3 linked regions of the Ovis aries genome follow. The protein of the gene in region 1 interacts with the protein of each later gene in a pairwise test. Links are inferred from orthologs where the notes say so. Each region holds a gene or a part of one and is shown in the gene's direction. Other genes may lie near its edges.

Region 1 (4,873 bases):
GTGTAGGGGACAGGACATTCAGGGTCACAGGTGGAGTCAGTGATGGGTCTAGAACATTCCCACCACCCTCTTCTAGGACTCCTGCTATTTCACACACCTTCCAACAGCCCTCCCAGCCCAGAGCTACCCGCACACCCTGCTCCGCCCCAGCCCCACCCCCAGCCCAGGCTCTCCTGACCATCGGTTTTTCTGACAGTTCCCATAGAAGAGCAGCGTGGGGACTACGACCTGAATGCCGTGCGGCTCTGCTTCCAGGTGACAGTGCGGGACCCGGCAGGCAGGCCCCTCCGCCTGGCGCCTGTCCTCTCTCATCCCATCTTTGACAACCGTGAGTGGTCAGGGAGCCGCATGAAGGGGAGGGGGGTGGGCCTGTGAGGAGGAAAGGAGAGGTGGGGAGGGGTGACCTGCAAGAGTCGCTCTGACTTCGTCCAGTCACCCAACGTATCAGTCATCCCCTCTGTGCCCAGCACTGTGCTGACCAAAAAGACAAGGCAGAGGAGACGCAGAGCTGCCCTTGAGGTGCAGCGTCCAGGCTGGCAGGGAGTCAGATGGGAGATAGGCATTTCCAGCCCATGACGAGAGGGTGGTGTGCCCAGAACTGTACTGAGGACTCCAGGAAATGAACTTCCAGGAACGAGATAATGTTAGAAACTAAGAATTCAATGAGGAAAGCTCACAGGAAGTTTACAGATGGATTGGGCTGACATTGGTCAACTGCAGTTTAAAAGTAGCCAGTAGGATACGTGAAAATAAAAAGGCTTTGGAGCCCCAAGGCCAGAAAACCAGGATGAACCAGTGTGTGTGGGGGTGGGGGGCTCAGGAGGGAAGGATTCATTGCCAGAGCGTGTATGAATGGGTCTTGAATACTGCCTGGGTCAGGTGGAGAAACAGCAGTTGTGATCGCTTTGGTTCTCGTAGGACTGTATGCTTCATGATGGCAGAGATGTTTACCTTTTGTGCGTGGTTATGTTCTTCAGGCCTAGAGCAGAGCTGGGCATGGAGTAGGTGCCGGCAGAGTTGCTGAATTGGTTGGTGTGAGGAGCCAATGGGAATGGTTGAATCTTGGCTGCAGAGGTGTAGTCAGCAAATTCTAGACAACCTTGACCCTGGGCTGGGCAGGAGCCGCATTTTCCTGCAGGTCAGCCCGGGAGACTGCCGGTGGTTCAGGGCTTCCTTCCTTATTCCCACACCTTCAGGCGCCCCCAACACCGCTGAGCTTAAGATCTGCCGGGTAAATCGGAACTCTGGGAGCTGCCTCGGCGGGGACGAGATCTTCCTGCTGTGTGACAAGGTGCAGAAAGGTACACAGCCAGAAGGAGGGCTGGACCCAGGAGCAGGAGGCAAGGGGCAAGGCTGAGCAGACACACTAAGTGTTAAGGAGCTGGTTTAAGCACTGTCCCCAACTCTTTGGGGACAGCAGGGCCATGCATCTCTAGAGACTAGTATCGGCAATTGCAGGGGGCGGCGGGCTGGGGAAGCTGAGCACCCACACGGCCGCCCTGTCTCCTGCAGAGGACATCGAGGTGTATTTCACGGGACCAGGCTGGGAGGCCCGAGGCTCTTTTTCACAAGCTGACGTGCACCGGCAAGTGGCCATCGTGTTCCGGACGCCGCCCTATGCGGACCCCAGCCTGCAGGCCCCTGTGCGTGTCTCCATGCAGCTGCGGCGGCCTTCTGATCGGGAGCTCAGCGAGCCCATGGAATTCCAGTACTTGCCAGACACAGGTACCCAGCTGGGCAGGGCAGCAGCAGGGCTGTGGGCTCCAGCCGGTGGGAGTGAGGCCGGGCTGGATGCCACAGCTGTAGGTGAAGGTCAGAAGCTGGGGTTGGGCAGATTTCCATAGTAATCAGATTCTTCTTCTCACCTCATTTAATAGTGGTGCCCAAGACTTACTGAGCTCTTGTGATATGTGTGGCCCTATTCCAGGCATATCAGTGAATTACCTGATTTTATTCTCTCATGAACCTTTTGAGGTGGGAGATAGCATCTAACTTGCCTTAGGTCACATAGCTAGTGAGTTATAGACCCAGACCTCATTTGAACCCAGGCCATCTGGCTTCTGGGACCTGTTGCCACAGTGTATCTATACTTATCACCACCACACAGCCATGCTGTGGTCAGGGCTTTCGGGCATCTGCTCAAATAGGAACAGCCAAAGTGATCCTTTATCTGAAGCCTGTCATCCAGCCTGAAAGTGTGTCCTGCCCTGGGACCTGTTTAACAGTCTGGAAAACAAGGCCTGAAACAGCCATCAGTTCATCCCACCAGATGAGGACTGAGTGTCCACTTGGCACCAGGCTCTGCGCCAGGTATCATCAATCCAAAGATGGATAAGACACGTTCCCTGCCCTTTGGGAGCTCGGTCACATGAGGAAGGCACACATGCAAAACAGCAGCCTGTGTCACAGAATGACGCGTGAAGCAGCGAGGTGTGTGCAGAATACTGTGGGAACTGGAACCGGCCGCGTGGAGGAGGTAGCATTTAGATTGGAGAAAGACCCAGAAGCGCATTCTCTAGGCGGGTGGAGCAGAAGGGCAGGGAACGGGCACAGCACGTTTGGGGACAGCTTTGTGGCAAGAGTTCACGTCGTCGGGTAGTGAGCAGGCTCCGGCAGAAGGGCCTTGAAGGCTGGACTTGCGTTCATCTGGGGTCACATCCTAAGGCCTCGGGAGCCACCAAAGGTTTCTGAACAGAGAAGTGACGTGAGCAGGTCTGGAAGCAGCGTGCAGAGCATCTGAGAGGGGGGACATGGGGTGGGGAGGTTTCGGAAGATGTTCCGGTCGTTCCGGGAGAAAAGGTGCTGTGTGAACCTCACAGACAGAACGCACGAGACCGTCTCACCCACTGCAGGCCTCCTCCAAGACCCTGAGCCCAAGGGCCCTTTGTGTCCTCCTGGGGACCTGTGCTCTAGCTGTTGCCTCTGCTCGAAACGCTTGGCCCCCAGATCTTCACACGGTGGGCTCACACCGGTGCTTCCCTGGACCCCTCGACCTTACCTCTGGCGCTGTTACTCGCCCTGGTCTCCTCCTCAGCTCCTATCACTTGTGTCAGTGCCCCTCTGTCCCTTGGATGTCACAGCTTTGGGGAACAGGAACCTTGTCTGCTTATTCAGGGCCATACCTCCAGTGGCTCTAATGGAGCCTGGCACGCAGATGCTTGGTGAACATGTGTCTAGAGGGTGAATGGTGGGGAGTGAGAAAGAGGAAGCTGCTGAGGATGTGTCCAAGGTTTGGGAACAGGGCAAAAGAGGTAGGGCGGGAACACCAAAGGGGAGGGAACCAGGATCAGGTGCTTGAGGTGAGACGGTGAGGTTGGCTTTGGGCTCTTGACGTCAAGTGCTTTGGGCTTCTCCAAGTGCTGCAGTAGTTAGAGAGTTCGGAAAGCTCCAGACTAAACTCAGAAATGATCAGAGAGAAGGTTAAGAGTCTGTTGAAGTCTTAAGCCAGCCTGTCATGCTCGGGCTGCCCCAGAAAGCAGAGCGCGCAGCACCAGGCCTGGTCAGGGCTGGACGGGAGCAGGGACGTCAGCAGTGCAGGTGAGAGAAGCCTGAGGTGGGACCCTGCGACGGCTCCTGGCTCCTGACTTGGGGTCACCTGTGTGGCCTTTGGAGGCCACATTCAGCTAATGGAGGTCTCAAAAAGTCACGGCATTCTTATATTCGTGGAGTGTCACAGAGTCGTGCAGCTGTTCTCACTGGGTGAGGTTTAGAGAAAGGTTCTTAGAAAAAGGTTTGTCTTCTCGCCTACCTCCTGAGAGTCCTTTGGGAACTTTGGGGGTCCACTGGTACAAGCAGGACCCACTTCCCTCCATTACTTTCCCAGATGATCGTCACCGGATTGAGGAGAAGCGCAAAAGGACATACGAGACCTTTAAGAGCATCATGAAAAAGAGCCCTTTCAATGGTAAGAGGGGGCGGCGGGAGAATCAGAGAGCAGTGGGCAGGGAGGGGACCCTAGACACCAAGAACTGACCCAGCCTTCACCCCACAGGACCCACCGACCCCCGGCCTCCAACCCGGCGCATCGCTGTGCCTAACCGCGGCTCAGCCTCCATCCCCAAGCCAGGTGAGGATTTCCTTAAGGTCGTCACACTGGAACTGTAGGCTCAAATCTGTTCGATCCATGGTTTCCAAACCTCTTGGAGAGAGTCGAGCAGTCTCACCAGCAGGTGTCTGAAACCTGCTCGCTGTTGGGCTCCTGTTTCTCAGGGCCTGAGCCTTCGTGGCCTAAAATCAGAGCCAGCTGGGAAGCAGTGAAGATGCCGATTCCCGGGCCCCTTACAGACATGGGGAATCAGAGGCTTTGGAAGTGTGTCCCAGGAACCAGCACCCCCCTGGGGATGAGAACCCATGTGGTGTCAGTTAAACCCACATTGGATGCCTTGAGATGCAGAAGTTTCAAAAATGCAGTCTCTGCTCTTAGTTCTCCATTGAAGTGGGGCAAAACAGTAGCAAAACAGTAACCTGTAATGTTTGTGCTGCTGTGTGTCTCAGAGAAGGAGGAAGAGGCGCTGCTCCCTGCCGGCTGCTCGGGCACAAGGTTGTGCCCGCTCTGAAAGCATCCTTTCCTCTAAAGGCTGTGAGAGCTTTGTGGGCCGGGGTAGACAGGCAGGGCTCCACGGAGGGGAGCCTGGAACTGGGCCCTACAGGGGAGGCCAGATTGGGTAAGAGGAGGGAGTAGGGTGCCAGCGGTGATGCCACAGGGAAGGGGTGAGCCTCAGCACTCGAGGCAGCAGCTGGGGTGCAGAAGCTGGGGGGAGGGGGTGCCTCCGAGGCTTTCTCTGACCCCTGCCTCTCTGTTTCTCTTCTCCAGCTCCCCAGCCCTATTCCTTTACGCCATCTCTCAGCACCATCAACTTTGAGGAGTTTTCCC
Region 2 (4,299 bases), on another chromosome or scaffold:
TCCCGTGGAGAGCAGCAGGACAGAGCGCTGCCCTGTCTCCTTGCTCCTTTTCCAAGAGCTTCTGTCTCCTCTCTTTTGGGAGGTGTTCATGAGGGGACAGAGGGTGACCCCACCCCTGCCCTCTCTGCCCTCCCCATGAAGGGGGCAGAGGTGGGGAGCCCAGCCCTGGAAACCACCTCTGTGCTACCCCAGCGGCTTTCAGTTTGGCTTTGAGCTGCAGCTGCCTGGTGGGGGCCCCAGGGGGCCAGAGGGGAGCGGGGTGTGGGCAGGGTGGACAGGAAGGACCTTGTCCCGTCAGCACCCTGCCCACATTCTCACTCAGCCAAGGCCCTCCCAAAGGCCAGAGATGGGAACTTGGAGCTTCCACCCTCAGGATCCTGGCTTCCCGCAGCAACCCTCACTTCCTGGCCCAAACTCTCACTTCCTGCACCTACCCTCTGGGTGGCAACTTAGACACTGATGTGTTCTTCTAACCCCAGAACCCCAGCCCACTCTGTCTGGCCTGAGCCCTGACCCCAAACCTTGCCTGTGCCTCCCAGGCTGATCCACCTGGCAGTGATTCACGAGGCCCCTGCCGTGCTGCTGTATTGCCTGGCTCTGCTGCCCCAGGAAGTCTTGGACATTCAGAACAACCTTTACCAGGTGGGTGGAGATGATGGGCTGAGCCCAGATACCTATGTCTGCCCCAGCAGCCATCCCCAGCCACCAGACAGCATCCTTTGGCTGCTCCCTCAGGGAACCATATACCAGACACTGGGCAAGAAGCTGAGGACAGAGAGACAGTAGGAATCAGACTCTGCTCACCAGGTGCTCCAGCCAGGGCTGGAGGACTCGTGTCAACACCTAATGGCACAGCGTGGTGACGAGAGTCGTGATAGAGACACATGCCAGCTGCTGTGGGAACCACTGTCTGTGGGAAGCAGCCAGGGAAGGTGTTAGTACAGGACATGATGTCTGCAGGGAGCATTCAAGGAGGAGTGTGCCGAGCAGAGCCTGCTCGATGCCCCTGTCGCCTCCCCCTGAGACCTCAGCCCCTCACCCAGGATAACAGGGCTCCCCAGAGGATGAGAAGCTGGATTCTGCTCCCACCATCACACCCTATCCCTCCCTGCCCCGGCTCTGTCCTTTCTCCAGGGTGGGGGGGCAGGGCCGGCACTAAGGGGACTTAAGAATAGCAGAGGGCCGCCTGCCTTACCCTGCCTCCAGAATTGGGGCCCCAAGAGTTTGATAGGGCACAACAGAAGGAAGACCAGGGCCCACAATTCCCATGCTGCTGGCAATTGCCGTGCCCACCCCAGCAGGTTCCCAGAGGTTGCAGCATGTTGCAGCCACCCTGTGACCCTCTCTCTGTGCCTGCAGACAGCACTTCATCTGGCTGTACATCTGGACCAGCCAGGTGCAGTGAGGGCCCTGGTGCTGAAGGGGGCCAGCCGGGTGCTGCAGGACCGACATGGTGACACAGCCCTGCATGTGGCCTGCCAGCGCCAACACCTGGCCTGTGCCCGCTGCCTACTCGAGGGGCAGCCAGAGCCGGGCAGAGGAACACCTCACTCCTTGGACCTCCAGCTGCAAAACTGGCAAGGTACAGGTGGCCGCAGGGCCTGTGGGAGGAGGAGGGGATAGGAGACAGGGACCCCACTCTCAGGGAAGGGAGGGCCACAGCTTGTCTATTGATGCATCTCCAGTTCTAAGCACATAGGTACTCAGAATACCTTTGTTGAATGAAGGAGTGAATTAATGAATGGATTCTGGTTAGAATTTATGGAGAACCTATTATATGCTAAGCAGAGAGCTCAACTTTGCCCTCAAGATGTACGGTTTGGGGGGCTTCCCTAGTGGCTCAGTGGTAAAGAATCCACCTGCCAGTGCAGGAGACATGGGTTCAATCCCTTATCCAGGAAGATCCCATATGTCGTGGAGCAACTAAGCCCAAGCGCAACAACTGCTGAGACTGTGCTTTAGAGCCTGGGAGCCACGACTACTGAAGTCCGTGTGCCCTAGAGCCTGTGCTCCACAGCAAGAGCAGCCACCGCCATAAGGAGCCGTAGCACTGTAACTAGCAAAGTGACCCCGTTCACCGCAGCTGGAGAAAAGCCCGTGCAGCGAAGACCCCAGCACAGCCAAAAACAAATCAATACATAAAATGATTAAAAAAAAGAACAAAGACATTCAGTTCGGCAGAGATTAGATGAACTCGTTAATTCATTCATCAAAAATGTACTGAGAACTTTCTCTGTACCAGACATTATTGTAGGAGCCAGACTTGCATCTGTGACCAAAACAAGATAATGTCTGAGGCAAACAATAGCCATAAGAAGTGAGTTCTCTGGCAGGTTAACAGGCAGTCACTGCTGTGGGGATGGGAGAGCTAGGTGAGGGGACTGAAGTGGGGGCGTGGGGCTTGATGGGATTTGTAGTCTTTGTGCTAGCTCCTTGCTGGCCTGGGTGCCCCTCTTCTTAAACAACTCAATGCAAATTCACATCCTTCATCTCTTTCAAGTTTCTGCTCAAACGTCCCTGCTCCATGAGGGTCTCCCTGACCACTCTGTTTAAAAATGAACTAATGAATTAATTCGTTCATTCATTAATTCAAGGGCTGGGGGCCTGAGGATCCCTAGAGCTCTGAGGAAGGTAACTTTTAGAAGGGGCCTGAAGGCAGGTAGAGTTTTACAAAAAGACTGTGTGTGTGTGCGGACAGGGGAGGCAGCATGTGGTGGGGGAGGGTGTGTGTATGGGGGGGTGTCACTCAGCAACCTGACTCCCGAAGCGTGGTGTATGGGGGGGTGTCACTCAGCAACCTGACTCCCGAAGCGTGAAAGTTTCAATAACATGACTGAAAAGGTGGAAACTTTGAGTTCCTTTCCCCCCAGACTTTTGAGGGGTTTTTTGGGTTTGTGTTTTAACAGTCTTGTGATCAGGGGCACTGAGTAGGCAGGGATGGGGCGGGGGAGTCCCTTGGGGCTGAGGGGTAAGGGAGGTCCCTGAAGAAAGGGAGAGCGAGCTGGTAGATGCAACCCTCATCCTCACCCCATCTCAGGTCTGGCCTGTCTCCACATCGCCACCCTGCAGAGGAACCGGCCACTCATGGAACTGCTGCTTCAGAACGGAGCTGACATTGATGTGCAGGTGAGGTAGCCCATCAGAGAGCTGCCGGGCCCAGGGCCTAGGCATGGGGCCCCTCTTCTTAGAGGCATGCCTCCTCTGAGGGCCTTGGCTGATATCTTTCTTCCCCCCAGGAGGGCACGAGTGGGAAGACAGCGCTGCACCTGGCTGTGGAGACCCAGGAGCGGGGTCTGGTGCAATTCCTCCTCCAGGCGGGGGCCCGGGTGGATGCCCGCATGCTCAATGGATGCACGCCTCTGCACCTGGCTGCGGGCCGGGGCCTCAGCAGCATCTCGTCCACCCTGTGCGAGGCAGGTGCCGACTCCCTGCTGCGAAACGTGGAGGATGAGACTCCCCAGGACCTGGCTGAGGATGTAAGAGGCGGACACTCAGCTCTGCTGTCCAGGGCCTCCCACATCCCTAGTGGAGACAGGAGCTATCACAGCTGAAGGGGCCAAGGAGTTAGGAGCCTGGGGTTGCGATCCACGACTCTGCCACTCTCTCAGCCTGTGTCCTAAGGACCCGGGGCCCGAACCTGGGACTCCTGCAGGAGCCATGCAGCTAACGCGGGCTGGGTATGGACAGCCAGGTGCTGGGGCCTGCCGGAAACCAGATAGTCTTTTGTCTGAGGGTCACTCGCTCTACTCAGCTTTAGCAGATTCTTGCAGAGGAGGAAGACAGGCCCAGTATTTCTAGATCTTGGATTTTTTTTTTTTTAAGAGAGATGAAACCTAGATTTTCTGTAGAGTCTTTCCCATTTTTAAATATATGATGTAAAAAGAAAATCAACATATTTTGTGAGTGCCCTTTCCCACCCTCCACTCCCAAAACGAAAGCAAAAACAGGACCCAGTTGCCCTGAGGAACCACTGTTTTGGGGATTAGTAGGAAGATTTGCTCCCTGATTTCTTTCAGGGATCGCTTGGTGGGGAGGAAAGGGCCTAATGGGTCTCTCAGCTCCCTTCCCCCACTGCCACCTCTGTCCATGGGCCCTAATCTTGCTTCTCTCCATTCCTTTCCTCAGCCCTTTGCCCTGTTGCCCTTCGACGACCTGAAGATCTCTGGGAAGCCACTGCTGTGTGCTGACTGAAGCCGGGACAAGCTCTTGGACCCCAGATACTTCCCCTCTTCCCATCTGGAAGCTGGAGCCACAGCTGCTGCAGTCTGGGCCCAGGCCGTGTGTCCTGGGAACTGCTAA
Region 3 (5,304 bases), on another chromosome or scaffold:
GGGAAATTGTGAACAATCATGTATGTGCGTTAGTTTTAAGAGTATGGATAAACCTGCCACGCAAGTTAGAATGCTAACAGAGAGGTTTGAATTGAAATATTCCTTTCATGCCCAGGAGACTTATCAACTAGAGCCCTAAGTTGATTTTCTCCAGAGAAAGGTGGTCGGGGATAGCCCCTGTTAATGCCAGACGAGTAAGTGAAAGGCATAATATAGTAAACGGTAGACAGATTTTGTTATCTGGGTAGATGCTCGAGCAGGTCCAAGGAGTCCCTCGAGTCCTGATCCTCCTTGCCTGTCAGGTCTCTCCTCATGACCTTGTCATGGGTGGGATCTCCTGTGCTGGCTCCTGGCAGGTGGGAGTGGAGAGAGACCTTAAGTCAGCCCATGGCACTGTCGCCCTCTGCAGGTGGCCAAGCAAGAGGAATTCTTCAACCTGTCCCACTGCCAGCTGGCAACCCTCATCAGCCGGGATGACCTGAATGTGCGTTGCGAGTCTGAGGTCTTCCACGCCTGCATCAACTGGGTCAAGTATGACTGCGAGCAGCGGCGCTTCTACGTGCAGGCGCTGCTGCGGGCTGTGCGCTGCCACTCGCTCACGCCCCACTTCCTGCAGATGCAGCTGCAGAAGTGTGAGATCCTGCAGTCGGACTCCCGCTGCAAGGACTACCTGGTGAAGATCTTCCAGGAGCTCACCCTGCACAAGCCCACGCAGGTGATGCCCTGCCGGGCGCCCAAGGTGGGCCGCCTCATCTACACGGCCGGTGGCTACTTCCGCCAGTCGCTCAGCTACCTGGAGGCCTATAACCCCAGCGATGGCACCTGGCTCCGGCTGGCAGACCTGCAGGTGCCCCGGAGCGGCCTGGCGGGCTGTGTGGTGGGTGGGCTGCTGTACGCCGTGGGTGGCCGCAACAACTCGCCTGATGGTAACACCGACTCCAGTGCCCTGGACTGCTACAACCCCATGACCAACCAGTGGTCGCCTTGCGCCTCCATGAGCGTACCCCGCAACCGAATTGGGGTGGGCGTCATCGACGGGCATATCTATGCCGTTGGCGGCTCCCATGGCTGTATCCACCACAACAGTGTGGAGAGGTGAGTGGTGGGGGCAGGAGGCGTGGGATCCGGGGGGTTCTGCTGCTCACACGTCCCCGCCATTGGGATCTGAGGGTTCCTCCTGTCTTTCTTTTAAAATACTTATTTATTTTCATCTGTGCTGGGTCTTTGTTGCTGCACGCAGCCTTTCTCTAGTTGCTGTGAGCCGGGGCTGCTTTTCGTTGTGGTGCACAGGCTTATTGCAGTGGCTTCTCTTGTGGAGCACAAGCTCTTTAAGTCCACCAGCTTCAGTAGCTGCAGCCTGTGGGCTCAGTAGTTATGGCACAGGCTTAGTTGCTCCACGGCACATGGATCTTCCTGATTAAAGACACAGGGATCGAACCCATGTCCCCTGCCTTGGTAGGTGGATTCTTATCCACTGCACCTCCAGGGACGTCTTCCCTCAATTGTTGAGTGCTTTTCTTTGTGCCTTGCCTTCAGGGAATGGAAGCCTCAAGGTGAAGCTAAACTCCTGGGGGATGTTTGGTCATGACCCTGGATGATGTGTCCTGGCCTGGGAACCGTTTACAGGGCCATCACATACCCATACAACGAGTGTTAGCAGATTTGGAAGAAGTTCCATCAGTTTGAAACTGTCAGAATGTTAATATGCTAATTTCGTTAAAACATGACACCTGACTGCTATCTATCCACAAATGGTTGTAAGAAACACACATATGAGGTCCGTTAACGTGGAAGGTGCCCCCTTAGATGTGGTGCCCGTGTGCAGTACACAGTCTGTGTACAGTACAGCTGTGCATGGTGACCCTGTGTTTGCGTGTGTGCTCACTCTGTGTGTCTGACTCTGTGACCCCATGGACTGTATAGCCCGCCAGGCTCCTCTGTCCATGGGATTTCCTGGGCAAGAATACTGGAGTGGGTTGCCATTTCCTCCTTCAGGGGATCTTCCTGAGCCAGGAACTGAACTGGTGTCTCCTGTGTGTCCTGCATTCATACAACACTTAGCTTAGGCGGTGGTCTGATGGAGCCATTTGAGTCCAGCAGAGGTGCAGGCGACCTTGAGCAGATGGGGGCCGTGAACCTGTTTCCTTGTCTAGAAAACGGAGCTACTGATAACTTGCGTTGTAGGGAATCCTTGTGAAAATTGAAGAGTTCAGGTAAGGGGCTTCCCAGGCGTTGCAGCGGTAAAGAATCCACCTGCCAATGCAGGAGACGTGGATTCTATCCCTGGTCCAGGAAGAGCCCACGTACCTCAGAGCAGCTGTAAGCCAGTGCGCCACAACTCTTCAGCCAGTGCTGTGGGAGCCGTGGAGCGGAAACTGCTGAAGCCCACCTGCTCTAGAGCTCCCGCTCCGCAACTAGAGAAGCAGCCGCAGCAAGAAGCCTGCGCACCGCAGCTAGAGAAAAGCCTGTGCAGCCAGGAAGGCCCAGCAAAGCCAAATAAAATTATTTTTTAAATTAAAAAGAAAAAAACCAACACCACAGTGGAGTGTTGGTGGGTCAGTGCCTCGGGTCGGCGGGGGCTGCTGTCGTCATTGCTGCTCTGTTGTGGCAGGTATGAGCCGGAGGGGGACGAGTGGCACTTGGTGGCTCCGATGCTGACACGAAGGATTGGGGTGGGAGTGGCTGTCCTCAACCGTCTGCTGTACGCGGTCGGGGGCTTCGACGGGACAAACCGCCTCAACTCAGCTGAGTGTTACTACCCAGAGAGAAACGAGTGGCGGATGATCACACCCATGAACACCATCCGAAGCGGAGCAGGTGGGAGGGGGCTGCGGGGAGGGGAGCAAGGAGGGGCACCCTCCCCACCCTGGGAGTGACCCTCGTAGAGCTCCTTGCTCTTGGCTTTGTCTCTACAGGGCCCCTCATGGGAGGGGAGGAAGGGAGACGGGTGACGGGAGAGGGGAGGGTGTCCCCCCAAGAAGGTGATGGCTGGGGCCCCCAAGGCCAGGCCCTGGAGTCATCCTCTCTGTGTCGTCTGGTCTAGGAGTCTGCGTCCTGCACAACTGTATCTATGCTGCGGGGGGCTACGACGGTCAGGACCAGCTCAACAGTGTAGAGCGCTACGACGTGGAGACAGAAACGTGGACGTTCGTAGCCCCCATGAAGCATCGGCGAAGCGCCCTGGGGATCACCGTTCACCAGGGAAGGATCTACGTTCTTGGTGAGGCCTGGGCGGAGAAGCCCACCCAGCCCCTTTCAGTAGGAGGGCTTCACATGCTTCCTTCCTTCCTGCCCGCCCCCAGCCCCCACCCCCTTGGAGTAGTGACCGACCATCCCTCCTGCCCTCCCTGCAGGGGGCTACGACGGTCACACATTCTTGGACAGCGTGGAGTGCTATGACCCAGACACAGACACCTGGAGCGAGGTGACCCGAATGACCTCTGGCCGGAGTGGGGTGGGCGTGGCTGTCACCATGGAACCCTGCCGGAAGCAGATTGACCAGCAGAACTGTACCTGTTGAGCCGCTTCTGTTTCCTGAGCGGGGAAAAAGAAAAAAAAGGTCGGATCCAGACTATTGTCGTTTCTGTACAAAAAAAAAAAAAAAAACCAGGGACAAATGAAGAGGCTCCACAGTGCAAACCGTGGCCTCCAGAATGGGAGGCTGGGACACCACAGTGTTCCAATCACGACGTGAAAGAAAAGAAGGCTAGAGTGGGAACTCGTGAGCCTGCCAGAGCAGTCCCAGGAATGTCCAACGAGAGCCTGCCCAGGAGGTGGGCGCGGGAAGGACGGGCTCCCCAGAGAGAGGCCCTCCACACCCGCTACCCCAAGACTAGGCCTGGCTCCCCCACCAGCAGCCGCCACCTCCCTGTGGGACGAAAGCAGGTGCTGGGGACAGGCTGGTTTTCATCCCCTGTGTCTTTGTGATTATTTCCTAGAGGCCTGGGAAGAAGCCCACTGAGGCCTTGGGGGAGGAGGCCCCTCCAGAGGTGTGGACCCCAGGGATGGGCCTGTACATAGAAACCACTGGATTTTGCTGCCCGGACAGTCATTTTGTTGATAAATAGCCCTGTAACTTTCAGATGAAAATAAAGAACAAACTAACTAGTGTCTTCCAACTGGGCTCTCAGCCAGAGATCTCAAACCTGTGGGGACAGAAAGGACTTTTCTCCTGACATGCACTCAAAAGTCTTTTGATTTAAGGCTTGGATTGGAAACCAGTTTGTTATCTCGGCCCCGCTGAATTTTGATATGTAGGGCATCTTGCTCCCCACAAGCAAGTCACACAGGGCTCACTTTGTCTGTCACTTTCAACTGCTTTGAAGACAATGACCCAACTCCTTGACACCTCTCTAGGGCTCCCCGAGATTAATTGCACACATGCGCAGTTTATATTTTCACAGTATATATTATATTATTATATTTTCACAGTTTATATTAAGGCAGTAGATCCCCAACATGGGCTTCTCGGATGGCTCTGTGGTAAAGAAGCCTCCTGCCATGCAGGAGATGTGGGTTCCATCCCTGGGTCGGGAAGAGCCCCTGGAGAAGGAAATGGCAATCCACTGCAGTATTCTTGCCTGGAAAATTCCATAGACAGAGAAGCCTGGCAGGCTACAATCCATGGAGTCACAATTGAGTGTCTAAACAATAAGAATAACTATCCCCAACATGCCTTCCAAATTCAGTGAAAGTCCACCAGGTCATATTTATGCATTTCAATAACATAGACTGAGGCTTTTGTTTTATTTAGGTGCCTGGGTATTCAAAAGACAAAGGGGTTCTTAGGAGTTTTCTTAGGCAAAGGGCTCAGTAGCTTGGCTCCTTCTGAACAGCCTGTGTAAAGGAATTATGTGGCCTGGATCTTTTCTTCTGCCTGTCAACTCTATTTGTGCTGGGGGAGTGGAGAAAAGAATGGTCTCAACTGTTGGGGATTCCACAGGTTCTTCCAAACAGCTTAGTGAGGGAACATTGGATTCTTTCCCTGCCAGTGAAAACATCCTACGTCCCATCTCTGTGGCTTCACTCAGGCCACCCAAAGGCGGTCTTAGTTGTCTCTAGTTGCCCACTTCTCTGGTCCTTGTCCTAAGATTTTTATGGAACAAGAAAATAAATCTGGGAATTCCCTGGCAGTCCAGTGGTTAGGAACTCAGGGCTTTCACTGCTGGGGCCCAGCCTCCATCCCTGGTCCAGAAACTAAGAGTCTGCAAGCCATGTGGTGAGGCAAAAAAAAAAAAAAAATGTTGGTTGCATTGAGTGGATGGGGAAAACTAGAAATTGTAAACACATCTAGATAGTCTTAGC

What was found.
Region 2: the proteins of RELA (region 1) and NFKBIE interact in binary tests that used the Homo sapiens proteins (3 or more experiments, as listed by UniProt). The link is inferred for Ovis aries from reciprocal best matches to the Homo sapiens genes RELA and NFKBIE.
Region 3: the proteins of RELA (region 1) and KEAP1 interact in binary tests that used the Homo sapiens proteins (3 or more experiments, as listed by UniProt). The link is inferred for Ovis aries from reciprocal best matches to the Homo sapiens genes RELA and KEAP1.

Annotation. Positions count from the first base shown.
Region 1 is NC_056074.1:40,275,035-40,279,907, reverse strand, and holds part of RELA (transcription factor p65), read left to right. Parts: intron 1-196; coding exon 197-328; intron 329-1,196; coding exon 1,197-1,301; intron 1,302-1,512; coding exon 1,513-1,725; intron 1,726-3,823; coding exon 3,824-3,904; intron 3,905-3,991; coding exon 3,992-4,066; intron 4,067-4,813; coding exon 4,814-4,873. UniProt on the Homo sapiens protein: NF-kappa-B is a pleiotropic transcription factor present in almost all cell types and is the endpoint of a series of signal transduction events that are initiated by a vast array of stimuli related to many biological processes such as inflammation, immunity, differentiation, cell growth, tumorigenesis and apoptosis.
Region 2 is NC_056073.1:17,747,251-17,751,549, reverse strand, and holds part of NFKBIE (NF-kappa-B inhibitor epsilon), read left to right. Parts: intron 1-539; coding exon 540-642; intron 643-1,359; coding exon 1,360-1,582; intron 1,583-3,037; coding exon 3,038-3,126; intron 3,127-3,236; coding exon 3,237-3,476; intron 3,477-4,125; coding exon 4,126-4,191; 3' UTR 4,192-4,299. UniProt on the Homo sapiens protein: Sequesters NF-kappa-B transcription factor complexes in the cytoplasm, thereby inhibiting their activity. Sequestered complexes include NFKB1-RELA (p50-p65) and NFKB1-REL (p50-c-Rel) complexes.
Region 3 is NC_056058.1:12,859,799-12,865,102, reverse strand, and holds the end of KEAP1 (kelch-like ECH-associated protein 1), read left to right. Parts: intron 1-409; coding exon 410-1,095; intron 1,096-2,611; coding exon 2,612-2,817; intron 2,818-3,043; coding exon 3,044-3,399; coding exon of another isoform or gene 3,400-3,520; 3' UTR 3,521-4,118; downstream 4,119-5,304. UniProt on the Homo sapiens protein: Substrate-specific adapter of a BCR (BTB-CUL3-RBX1) E3 ubiquitin ligase complex that regulates the response to oxidative stress by targeting NFE2L2/NRF2 for ubiquitination.